2 linked regions of the Arabidopsis thaliana genome follow. The protein of the gene in region 1 interacts with the protein of each later gene in a pairwise test. Each region holds a gene or a part of one and is shown on either strand. Other genes may lie near its edges.

What was found. Proteins that work in one complex are often made in the same cells at the same time.
Region 2: the proteins of AT5G37478 (region 1) and SUR1 interact in a two-hybrid assay, tested with the Arabidopsis thaliana proteins (one large-scale study listed by BioGRID).

Annotation. Positions count from the first base shown.
Region 1 is NC_003076.8:14,878,978-14,885,347, reverse strand, and holds AT5G37478 (TPX2 (targeting protein for Xklp2) protein family), read right to left. Parts: upstream 3,933-6,370; 5' UTR 3,789-3,932; coding exon 3,747-3,788; exon of another isoform or gene 3,530-3,746; coding exon 3,470-3,529; intron 2,985-3,469; coding exon 2,925-2,984; intron 2,523-2,924; coding exon 2,424-2,522; coding exon of another isoform or gene 2,341-2,423; coding exon 2,281-2,340; intron 1,940-2,280; coding exon 1,845-1,939; intron 1,670-1,844; coding exon 1,549-1,669; 3' UTR 1,354-1,548; downstream 1-1,353. Other genes in the region: AT5G37480 (maltase-glucoamylase, intestinal protein), read left to right, coding at 1-204, 291-340, 707-871.
Region 2 is NC_003071.7:8,876,998-8,883,289, reverse strand, and holds SUR1 (Tyrosine transaminase family protein), read left to right. Parts: upstream 1-2,849; 5' UTR 2,850-2,991; coding exon 2,992-3,335; intron 3,336-3,591; coding exon 3,592-3,931; intron 3,932-4,057; coding exon 4,058-4,276; intron 4,277-4,363; coding exon 4,364-4,423; intron 4,424-4,505; coding exon 4,506-4,661; intron 4,662-4,790; coding exon 4,791-4,884; coding exon of another isoform or gene 4,885-4,964; coding exon 4,965-5,140; 3' UTR 5,141-5,403; downstream 5,404-6,292.

The DNA of each region.
Region 1 (6,370 bases):
AAGACTACCGATTCACAACAGGGACAAAGGCGGAGTTTGCTGTCTCTGTGATCAACAGGAAACTTGGTTCGTTGAAACCTCGAGTGATTTACATCGAAGCAGCAAAGGAAGGTGAAGAGCCTATTAGTTTTGGTGATAATGCTAGTCTTCTGAATTATGGACTTGGTTGGAAGTTGAAGACAGTTGTTGATGCTGATCTACCTGGTAATTTAATTCTTGTCAAACTGCATTATGTAGCTCTTTACCTTTGGTTCATGTACTCTAATGCCAATCTTTTCTCTTTGATGCAGGAACGGAGAAAAACAATCGACAACAGCGGTTTTCTTCTGTATTTTCGACGGTAAGTATCTTGAGTTTGTTAGTAGCTTCATAGTGTGATATTGTGTTATAAATATCTGAATAGTTGATGCTAGCATGATTACAGTTTAGTATCTAACTTATACTTAGAATACTTTTCATTGTCAAAGCCTAAGTAGGAGTGTAGAAAAACTAGAACCATACGTCTGTTAGAATATAGAGAATGAGCTCGATAAGGAACAGAAGAATGTTGAAACAGTTGACTTGGTAGACTGTAAAATAACTGTAAACTTCTTCTTGCTTGAGATTATGGTGTTGGTTTCATATCACTTGGCGTTTGTTATGTGATTTCCCTGTAGTTTATCGGATTGTGGGAAAATGCTGAAGTGTTTTGTGGTTTGCTTTGCAGGGTTTTGCAAATGATTCAACACCAGAAATCGGAGAGCAAAGTCTGAAATACATTGGGAGGATATTTTTTGCATTTGTTTTGATGTTTATTCTTGGTGGCCTCTTCACAGTGGCTCTTGAGAACCTTCCTAGATTAATATTGCTCTTTAACAACTCTTTCGTGTAAACAATATGACATTGTTCAAACACAGACATTTGGAGATGTAACTCCAAAAACCTTTTTTTTTGTTTTCCTCTATCTATCACTCATTGATTTGGGGATGTAACAGCTCTGGAATCTTTTCTCTCTGAATTTGGCTTTCAACCCTGGTTATGTGTTTCCTCCTATCTCTGCTCCTTTCCGGCACTCGTTTTTGTCGAGTATTTTTACTAAGTTTATATATATTCTCGAGTATTTTTAATTATTCAGTGTAAAAATAACTAATATTTTCAAAAATATATTTATATTTCGGATATTTTTGGTTATCCAAAATATTTCGGTTTATATCCATTCGGTTTCGGTTATAGAATTTAGTATCTATTTGGTTAGTTTTCAATTTTTGGTTCTTTTGTTTCGGTTTTGGTTTGGTACATTCGGTTCGGTTTATTTGCCCAGGCTTAGATGTAGAAATGGAGAATGGCAGAGTATATTGTCTACTTCAAATCAGACCCAATAGTACTTCAAATCAGCATTTACTCGTTTATTTAATCTACGAAAAAAATTACAGAATATTATACTGAAAAAAAAGAAGAGGGGAAGAGAAAAAGACAAAAGCTGCCAAGAACAAAAATAAAAGTAAACTGAAAAAAAGATTTGAAACGAAAATTAGAAAAAAGCCTCTATGTGAGCTAGTTACTCGAGATTTAAGCATGAGCATGGTTAATATGGTAAAGATAGTGTTGGTTGTTGAAAACACAAGTCCAACAAGTGCTGTTTACGTTTCCAAAGCTTGGTTCTTTTGGCATCGTCAATGGTCTGCTCGATCTATACACCCAAATATTTATTTCAACATAAAATAAATTAGTTACATAACAATATCATATTATTTCAGAAAGTTTCTATTATACAATTTGTTAATATACTATCTAAATTTATCTCTTTGATTATAGAATAAACTATAGATAGCTTGAAACTAGATTTTTGTAAACTATAAACTGACCTTTGTGGGAGAAAAGGTCTGTCGAAGAAAGGCATCAATTGAGCTTTTGGAACCATTTCCTTCCTCAACATGCGAATCTCTTCCTCTTCTATCATCTGTTACATATGGTTCGATTTAATAACGCGGCTTAACTTCGAGTATTCTTCTCAAACCAAGGGATACCAAATTCCAAAATTTCTCACTGTTTTAGTTAGAGTAGTTTCCGTTCTATATCTACTTGTGGTCTTGGTGTCATGAAAGTGAAATGTTCGATTTTAGACAAGCATGATTCATATAAATAGAGAGGTTCTAGTTATGTTTAGTCGTCGTAAATTTACAGCCAAAGAGAGACCAAGAGTCCAAGACCAATCAGAGTACGGTGTGTGTCGGTTTAAATTGTTTAAGGTTGTTTTCAAGCCAAATAATAGTAAACCATTTTTTTTCTTTTGTAATTTACCTTTTGCAACCTCTCTTCTTGTTTTTTCTGAAGTTTCTGGATGTAATAATTAGTTGCAACCTGCCAAGATGATGAATGAGCTCCATGGAAGTTGAAAAAAATATGATGATTAAATAAGAGATATTGAGGAAGTATGTGTAAACCGAATAGTTGAACATTGCACGTTTCACTGCTCTCTCGCCAGAATGAAGCTTGAACTCGAGAGGTTTTTTGTTCTCTTTTGCTGGTGCCTTTGTAATATTCTGATTAGTAAAACAAAAAAAGTCAACGGTAGAAGTAATATTGTGAGGTTAATATTTTTATTTTTGATAGTAAAAAAACAAAAAAAAAAAACAAAATTAATAGTAAAAATTAATAAATGAAGTATACGTCTAAGAAAATTTTGTAGAATTTTTTCCAAGCAATTAATTTGAGAAAATCTGTGTTTAATGCATGCAAGCATAGCTAAACCTTAATAAAACGAGGACGACATAGATGAGAGTATTTGTAAGTTGTAACTTTTATATTTTCTTGGGTAAAATATATTCATGTAACATATGCATTTTGTTTCTCTTTTACGGGCTAAAGATATTGTGGATAGTTGTGATTCTATTTATTAGAAAGAATTACAAAATTGTTCATATATAGAATCTCTATTTGGGTACCTTAGTCGTGGCTGCCTTGGTTTTGTCATGGGCTCTTTCTTTGAGTGGTTCCACTTTGGTCTACAATTAGATTAAGTAGGGATTCAATTATGCTACGATAACTATACTAACATACTGTAGTATTTATGTACAAACTACGAAACACCATACTTTTTCTTACTCATTATTTACAAACTTTTACTGAGAAGTTCACGAGTACTTTGATTTACCATTTCTTGAATTACACAACAATGTTTTTATAAAAACACATACTTACACTTCTGGCATTGTGAAAACTGTAGAAATTGTTGGGACATTAGGATATATATCAAATGGTAACTATATAATGCTGGAATTGGCAAATGACGTTACATAGTTTGAGTTTTTTTTTAATGTGATGGACATTAGGATAAAATTTTGGCAAATGACGTTATATAGCCAAACTTAGACTACAGTAAAAAAAAAAGTTTTTGATGAAAATGTGATCGTTGGATTAATGTGAAAAATGCCTCAATAGGAGAAAAATAATGTAAGAAAAGAAATTAAAAATGGAATCGTATCCTCACCATTCCTTTACCATTGGAACCCAGGGAGAGTACAGAAGAAGTAGGACTTGTTTTCCCAAACTTTGAAGACACGAAACAAAACACTTTGTCAATATGTAAGCCTCTTTAATTTGTTTTAGTTTCATGTATATATTATTACAAACGTGCCCAATTATACATAAACGTGTGAAAATATTTACGTGAAATGTGTGTATACAAATATACGTGCACAAAAGTAACAACGAAAGTAACCACTTATTGAAGTAGATAAAGAAAAAGTAACCAATTATTGAATAACCTTGGGAGAGGATTTTGTGTATGATGATTTTCCAGTACACATGTTTAGGCCAAAGAGATATATAATAATAAGTAGTTGTTAAAAACAAAAACTCAACCAAAAGCCAAACTCCTTTACGATTTTTGTTTGTCACAACTTATTATGAACTCTAAATTAAAAGTAAGTGAAATAAAAATATTACTTGATGAGTGAAAGTAGAGAAGAAATGAAGTGAATTTATAGAGTGAAGGACGAAGCAAACACACATATACAAGTTTGGACATTAGTAACTGTCTTAAGTGGCGTCTGTTGCTACATCAGCAACAAGCTTTAATTAGGTTTTTCTTCATAGATTTCTTTGTTAATATAAATGAATAAATGACAATTATCTATCGGTATACTATTTTGGTAAGTAATGTGAAGTCAAACATAAGTAGCTATGTGTGTTCTATTTTGATTGCATGTAAACGTAAATCTTACTGAGTTACAATATTATAAATGAAAAAATAAAGAATAATATATGTTACTAATGTACCAAGATTCTAAAAACAATATGATGATGCAACGTTATTGAAAACTTCATTAATTAATTATATATAGAACTGGAAAATAGAGTAATTCACATTAGTGAAACCAAAGCATGATAAACTGAAGAAAACATTACAAAATCAATAGATGTGTCATTTTTTTTATCGTAGTCAAATCGAGAACTTGAATCGTGTGAATAATTTTCTTAAACTCGACTTATAAGAGATGACAAATCTTAATAAATCGTGTAGATGTTATGGTAGAAACAAAAGTAAACTAATATTAGATTTTAACCCGCGGTACACCGCGAAGACAATTTATTTTTCTAAATTAGTATATATAAAATTTTGCAAATTATATCTATCTATAAAATATTTTTATTTTATAGTTTACAATTGTTATTAAGTAACGTCCTTCCAAACCCGTTCCACCAAACCCGTCCTGTTAAAAAAACTGCGGTACCCCGCTAATTTAAATTTATAATTAAAATAAATATTTTACGGGATTGCAATTGTGTTTTAGTTTGTCAAACAAAATTTTGTTTTAAATAGTTGTCGAAATCTAGTTCAAATTTTGGAGAAATAAGATTTAGTGAATTGATAAGAAATATATTTAGTTGCGTTTTGCTCATTTTAAGGGATTGCAATTGTCTTTTGGGTTGTCAAACATTTTTTGTTTTAAATAGTTGCCGAAATCGAGTTCAAATTTTGGAAAAATCTGCGTGATATATGGGATTGGAATATATTTGGAATGTTTTTCGTTTGTTAATCAATTTATTGCTGAAAAAACCAATAATTAAAAGTCAGTGGCAGCCATTGTAAATAAGTTCCAACTCCAGGATTTATTTCACAAAATGGCTGCAAAAATGTATATATAGATTAGTTAATAGCTATATATATGATGTTTGGGACAAAATTAATATTACATGTTGTGATTTCGGGTTTGGAGGGATTACGGGCTTCGGCCCAGAACCTTCTGGTATTCAAAAAAAAAAAAAAAAGCTATATATAAAGATATAGTAACCAATATTCGTAGTAGCCAGGAGTATTTGTCACATTTGATTGAATAAGTATTCCCAATATACATTTCAATCCAAAAGAGTTAGAAACATACTTTCAAAGAATGAAATGTATATTCCCCGCATAGATAAACACATATTTCCCGATTTCAGATTGATGATATTGTCCGACAAAAAAACAAATTGGTGGAGCTCTCATGCAACAAACTTTCTGATTAAACCTCCCACTCATGCACGTCCGTAATTTTCGTATATAGCGTCCATCTCACATTTGGGAGTTGTATTTTGAACTATTTAATCATATGTTGTTAATCGCGCGCTAACTTCTCGATGTCAAAGAGGCTTTGTATTGTTCCCCTTAATTAACTTTTCTAGATGGGAGAATCATTTAACTTGTCGTTACATTATTTCATTACTCATTTCAATTTAATATCCACATATTTTTGGCATTTAGGACGTAAAAAGGTAATTCAGATATATGAATCACTACGTGAACGAACATGGTTTACGGATCATTTTTAAAAACATGGTATACGAACTTATGGATAATTTTAGTAATGTTAATAGCTTTTAGATAATTTTAGATTACGTTCAAACTTTGTAAGACCAATTCCTAACTATCAATAATTTTAGATATTAGTTTTTAAAAATATCAATATCCGCTAATCCTATTACAAATGAAGCTACATATAATTTTTTGTTATTTTTTAACCATGTTAATTTAAAAAACTAAATTTATAATAATCTTGTTTTAAAGTTTTTTTAGTTAATCATTTACATTTTTAATAGTTCAGAAAACCCAAGGAAGAATATCTCTATATATTACCACCCAAACTATTATTCATATAACGTAATATTACTTTTTAATATATGTGTGAATCCACTAGCTATTCCATTAAACAACTGGATATATCATATATATATAATTATCTATCTATATATATATAGACGACTTAATCATCTAATTTTCAGTTATTTCGACGTATTCCGATGTTCAGTCATTTCCATTTAGACCATTTATTTTGCGTTACACTTGCATCCCTTTGATTTTCTGTGAAATGTCACCACGAAATGTGAATATATACAAGCAGTTGAGTGC
Region 2 (6,292 bases), on another chromosome or scaffold:
AAATCAAAACACAAGACTTACTTAAAATTTTATCCAAGAAGCAAATGCTAATGATTTTAGCTGCTCACTGACTTTGGATAAACACTCATAGATTGCATTCTTAGAAGATATTAGATCATTAAAAACTCTTTGCAAAACAGTAAGAACATGTTGTTGAACATCACTTTTTTAACCGATTTGATAAGATCTTGTATATCTTTCACTCGCTAAAGTGTTTGTTCTATAACTTTTTCATGGTTTGACATTGTAAAACCTAAAACATTCAAAACACTGAGTTTTCAGAGTGAGATGTAGATAATTAATGATTAGTCATTCATAATTATAAGCTTTAGATTACATAGAATTATATAGTAAAAGAATTTTCTATCTATAATGGATAGAAATATATAAATAATAAATATAAAATATTCTTAACAAAATCTTTCAAGATATTTCTTGTCAAAATCTATCAAGATTTATAAATAATAAATATAGATTACATGGAATTATATAATTAATGATTTTCCAAGATCTTTCTTTATTTTTATTTTTTAATAACTTCTAGCAAAATCTTGACTCTTAAATGACCAAGGAAATTTGTTATATAAAAAAAAAAGTTACCAATGAACTTTACTTTTTACACAAAGCTTGCACCTCTCACACAAACTTCCACCTTTCTCAATGTCAAACACAAGATAAGATCTAACTTGATAGAATGCTTAGAAGATGCAAATAATTATGCAAGAGATGAATGAAAGAGAAAGCTAAAATGTAATCCTTGATGTACACATATCTCCATGTCTTTTAAGAACTTCAAACATTTCCTCCATCAAAGGCATGATGAAATAATCTTTGATGTACACACATCTCGATGGATCACGATAAGGGTTAGGCGCATCACGAGAACACCCTATGAACGGCCTATCTTCTTTAAGTTGTAGTTCACTATCCATGACATATATTGCATTGCTACTTTGTGGTTTAGACCATATCAGTAATGGTCTTCCTTATCAAGAGTGTTTCTCTTATCTAGACTTGCAAAATCAATCAAATCTTGAGGAGAACAGAGTGTATCATCACGTCCATCAAGAAGCCTTATAACTCGTATGAGTTCACTCACAACAATGGCCACCACACATCTTACAAAACACACATAAGAAAAAACAAAAGGAGTTAAAAAAGTGAAGAAAATATTTCAATATCATATCTTATCTATATTACAATTAGAGTAGTTGTATTGTAAACTTTTCAATATTGTTTTAAAGATTCTCATATGTACTTCATATATATGTCTCTTTATATTGCAGCATATAATAATCTTTTCTCTACAAAATATTCATTCATATGTCCATTCCTTTTTCTCTTGCAACTTAACTGTGTTCTTTCTGATCTCTTAAAGCTTTCATTATTATCCTTCAATCAGCTTTCAGTAAATCTGGGATTTTGAAATAAAACTACAAGAACAATAATAAATTGTTAGACCAAACTTGTTTCATAGAGAAAAAAAAAAGAATCTGATACACTTACCTAACATGTTGACCAAGATGCAAATGTAGATTATTTAATCGTCCTCCCAGCTCTCAAAAAAAAACCCATATCTTTAGCAATTTCTTTCAAAACATGGAGAATATTTTTTCGAGCATCACTTATACCAACCAGTGATTCAAGAAGCTGGTGTAGTTCAAAAAGTATAGCCCTCACTCGTCGACGAACTTTAAATGAAAGTAATGAAAATCTGGTATTAACTTGAAACTTTCACACTTCTCTTCCACTTTTATCCTTTCACACTAGAAAATTACAATGTGCACAATTATAGCCGTTTCACACTTCTCTTCTACAATTTTTTTTTTCACATCAAAAAATTATTTCAGGTTTTTGACACATATTCCCAACAATTTATTTTTCTTAATAATTAATATAATTTTTAAAATATATCAATGTACAAAACATAGGCTCCAAATGGATGACAAATAATTGAATATTTGGGTGCAAATGGTTGCACAATTTAAAAGGTTGAAGAGGTTAAAAACATTATTCAATTAATCTTCAGCATTTTAGTTGAAAAAGTTGAAAAAATTATTCAATTCATTCAACTTAAAAAGTTGAAAAATGAACAAATTATAAAGGAAAAGTGTTCAACTTCTTGATCCACATTTTTGGAGATGATCATTCAACCCCAATTTTGTTCAACCTAATAATTTCAACTCATTCAATTTTGAAAAACCATTTGTACAAGTTGAAGATCTTTCAACTTATTCCTCTACAAAAAGGTTAAACAATTTTTCTTTATAACTTTTTTGGTTGAATGGATGAAATTAGTTCTTAGTTATTTATCTCAAATAGTAAAAACATAAGATGAATGATCATTTAACTTTTTATAACCTCTTATTTTCAAACAACATTTGCACCCATAGTCTAAAAATAGAAATTTGTTGACCAAGAAGAATTTGGTATCAAATGAATATTTTTTGTGGCTCAAACTTTTATTCTCTCTTTAAGTAGCTGAAAAATTAACGTTGGAAAGTGGGGTCTACAGACCTTTACGCCCATTTATTTACGCTACAATGGTTTTCTAATCACATCCTTAATCTTACAATTTGTTTGATAATAAATCTACTAATTAAATTTGACGTCACAAATCACAATGCACTGACGCCCATTAGCATGTTAGTGACAATGTAACCAAACTGATTCATCACATTTCAAACTGAACTCATTCCGGTTGACTAATCGGTTGGGTTTTAACTCGCCAACTATTCTTATCAGGCCAGGCCCAAACATTCCTTCACAAAGCCCTGCCAATTTGATTAATTTTTGTGGCACGTGATTTTAGTTTTGTGTTAGGTCTCACCAAGATTATTGATCACGTTCCATAATTCAAAACTTTGCATTATATACCAAAAATCCAATCCGTATTGAAACTTCATTTGTAAAGTTTTTTTTTTTCCCAAATAGTACTTTTTTTTTGTTTGGCCTTCTTATAGAAAGAAGAACTCAAAGCACAGAGAGAAGATGAGCGAAGAACAACCACACGCCAATCTAGCGGTTCCCGCGTTTAAAACTGAGAAAGAGCCCATAACGCAAACACGAAATGGTCAAAGTAGCGTTTGGCGTTTCGGTGGAAGTGATAAGGCAGCGAAAGCATCCACCGTAACGCTTAGAGGTGTCATCTACATGCTCTTCGACAACTGCGGCAAAGACGTCAATAAGACCATTTTACCCCTCGGCCACGGTGACCCTTCCGTCTACCCTTGCTTCCGTACCTGTATCGAAGCTGAAGACGCCGTCGTCGACGTCCTTCGCTCCGGCAAAGGCAATTCTTACGGTCCCGGAGCTGGGATTCTCCCCGCAAGACGGTAACTTTCTCACTCAATTCTCGATCTTCCACTCTAATCGAACGATTCTCGATCTGGGTTCTTCGAATTTCATCGTAATCGGAGTCGTTTTTGAGTCAACGGCGAATCAATTTTGACAAAGATTTCAACTTTAAGCACACTCGAGTATAATCTTACAATTGCCTTTTAGACCCTATAGTTTTAGTATTCTTATAAATTGACCCCATAACTTTTGAATAGATCTACATTTTGTTGATGTTTGCTCTGTTGTGAACAGAGCCGTTGCTGATTATATGAACCGAGATCTTCCGCACAAGTTAACGCCTGAAGATATTTTTCTGACCGCTGGATGCAACCAAGGGATAGAGATCGTGTTCGAATCGTTGGCTCGACCAAACGCAAACATCTTGCTCCCACGTCCTGGCTTCCCTCACTACGACGCTCGTGCTGCTTACAGTGGTCTCGAGGTTCGCAAGTTTGATCTTCTTCCCGAGAAAGAATGGGAGATTGATCTTGAAGGTATCGAAGCCATTGCAGACGAGAACACTGTGGCTATGGTTGTAATTAACCCCAACAATCCCTGTGGAAATGTCTACTCTCACGACCATCTCAAAAAGGTTTGTGTTTTTGTATCATTACACAAAAATGCTCATCTTTTTGACTCATAACTGAGGCAAAGCTTGAACCTTTGAGGCATTTTTGATTCGTAGCTCGCTAAAGATTGCGTTTTTGGTTAATTTTAGGTTGCAGAGACGGCTAGGAAGCTCGGGATAATGGTGATCTCAGACGAAGTATATGACCGAACTATATTCGGAGACAATCCATTTGTTTCAATGGGGAAGTTTGCTTCGATAGTCCCTGTATTGACACTAGCAGGCATATCTAAGGGATGGGTTGTTCCTGGATGGAAAATTGGCTGGATCGCCTTGAATGATCCCGAGGGCGTTTTCGAGACCACCAAGGTTTGTTTACTGCTACTTCTTTTGTATCCTCTCTTGCTGTTTTGTAACAAGTAATCTCACTGTATGTTTACTCTCTGTTTCTGACAGGTGTTACAATCCATCAAACAGAATCTTGACGTAACTCCTGACCCTGCCACAATAATTCAGGTTTGTGTGTTTTAGATATGTTTTAGAATCTTTGCAAAACTAGTCTATGGATTCATGACACTACTGTATGTTCCTTTGATAGGCTGCACTTCCAGCGATCCTGGAGAAAGCGGACAAAAACTTCTTTGCAAAGAAGAACAAGATACTCAAACATAATGTTGATTTGGTGTGTGATAGGCTCAAGGACATCCCCTGTGTCGTCTGTCCCAAGAAACCTGAGTCTTGCACTTACTTATTGGTATAACTTCTGTAACGACACACATCCACAAATGTAGTTATGATCGGTTTTCTTTAGACTGGTGCTTCTTGATCAATTTCAGACCATTACTAGTCTTTCAATCTGATGAATAGTTTTCACTCACTGCAGACAAAGTTGGAGCTGTCATTGATGGATAATATCAAGGACGATATAGATTTTTGCGTAAAACTGGCCAGAGAGGAGAATCTCGTGTTTCTACCAGGTAAAATAATGAAACTAAGCAGCATGAGTCTTGATTTGAGTTTTGATACTAAAATGGGGTTTGTGGGGAATGTTTTGCAGGGGATGCTCTGGGTTTGAAGAACTGGATGAGGATAACCATCGGAGTCGAAGCTCATATGCTTGAGGATGCACTTGAGAGACTGAAGGGTTTCTGTACACGTCATGCCAAGAAGACAGAGACAGAAACTGAGTCACTTCAAGCTTTGAAACTGAGTGATAATAATCTCGAAATGTAAAACAGAAGAGGATGTGTGTGCCCAAAAGAATATTCTTATGATAGATAATTTTGATTCTTGCTTTTCCATTTGATTTCCCAAAGTATTTGATTATCTACATTAATAAAAACTATGGTTATTTGTCAAATAGCAATATTGGGAACATAAATGAAGGATCTAGCATCCATGAAAGAGAATTTCTTTGTTTTTGATTACCTTGTTCTAACATTTATGCTATTGGTTTGTGCATATAAGTAAGTTCACACGTTTGTGTTTTCTTTTGCAAGCAAGTTCATATGTTAAATTTGGTATTTGGATACAAACTCATTCTCATAAGATTATTTTTTTTATTTTTTTTATTTTTTTTTGGTATACAAACTCATCCATGAAGTTGGATTGAGAAATTGCATCCAAACTCTTTTAGAAATCAAAATATTTTGTTAACGTTATTTTCTAAAAGATATATCACATGTCATTTTCTTTTTTATAATTATTAAATTTCCAAAAATATATATATATATATATATATATATATATATATATATATCACGATTTAACAATGAAATGAAAGATTTCAGAATTATTATTTGGTGCTAAAATATTTGAAATGATTTTATTTTTTTAATCTCAAAAATTACAAAATATATAATAAAATTTTAGTGGTGGCATACTGGCATTGCGATTTGATGATCTTGACCTCATATATTGTGAAACTACAATTTCTTTAAAAAGAAAAATTGATCATAGGAAAATTATTGACAAACAAATTTTGCGTCATTTTGAAATAGATCCGATATTCATCTAGTTTACAAGCTAAAAAGAACTTAATATCTATACATCCATATGCAAAAACTAACTTTATAAACGAACAATAGGGATAATTAGCACTCTGATACAAAAAAATGAACAAGTAAATATATGCATGTTGACAATATATGTCAAACTTTTTGTAGATCTCATACATTCATATAATTCATTATACTTTTAACGTGTAATATAACGTAGACTAAAAATTTGTTGATCAATAATTTCCAATAATATCATTCTTAAGTCGTTAAAACCAATTGTTATATTGGTACTAGTTTTGTATAAATATCATGTATTAATCTCTTATCTTATATGTAACTTTCAGGATTTTTTTTGGGTTAATCTTTCGTACTTAAACAGTCAGCA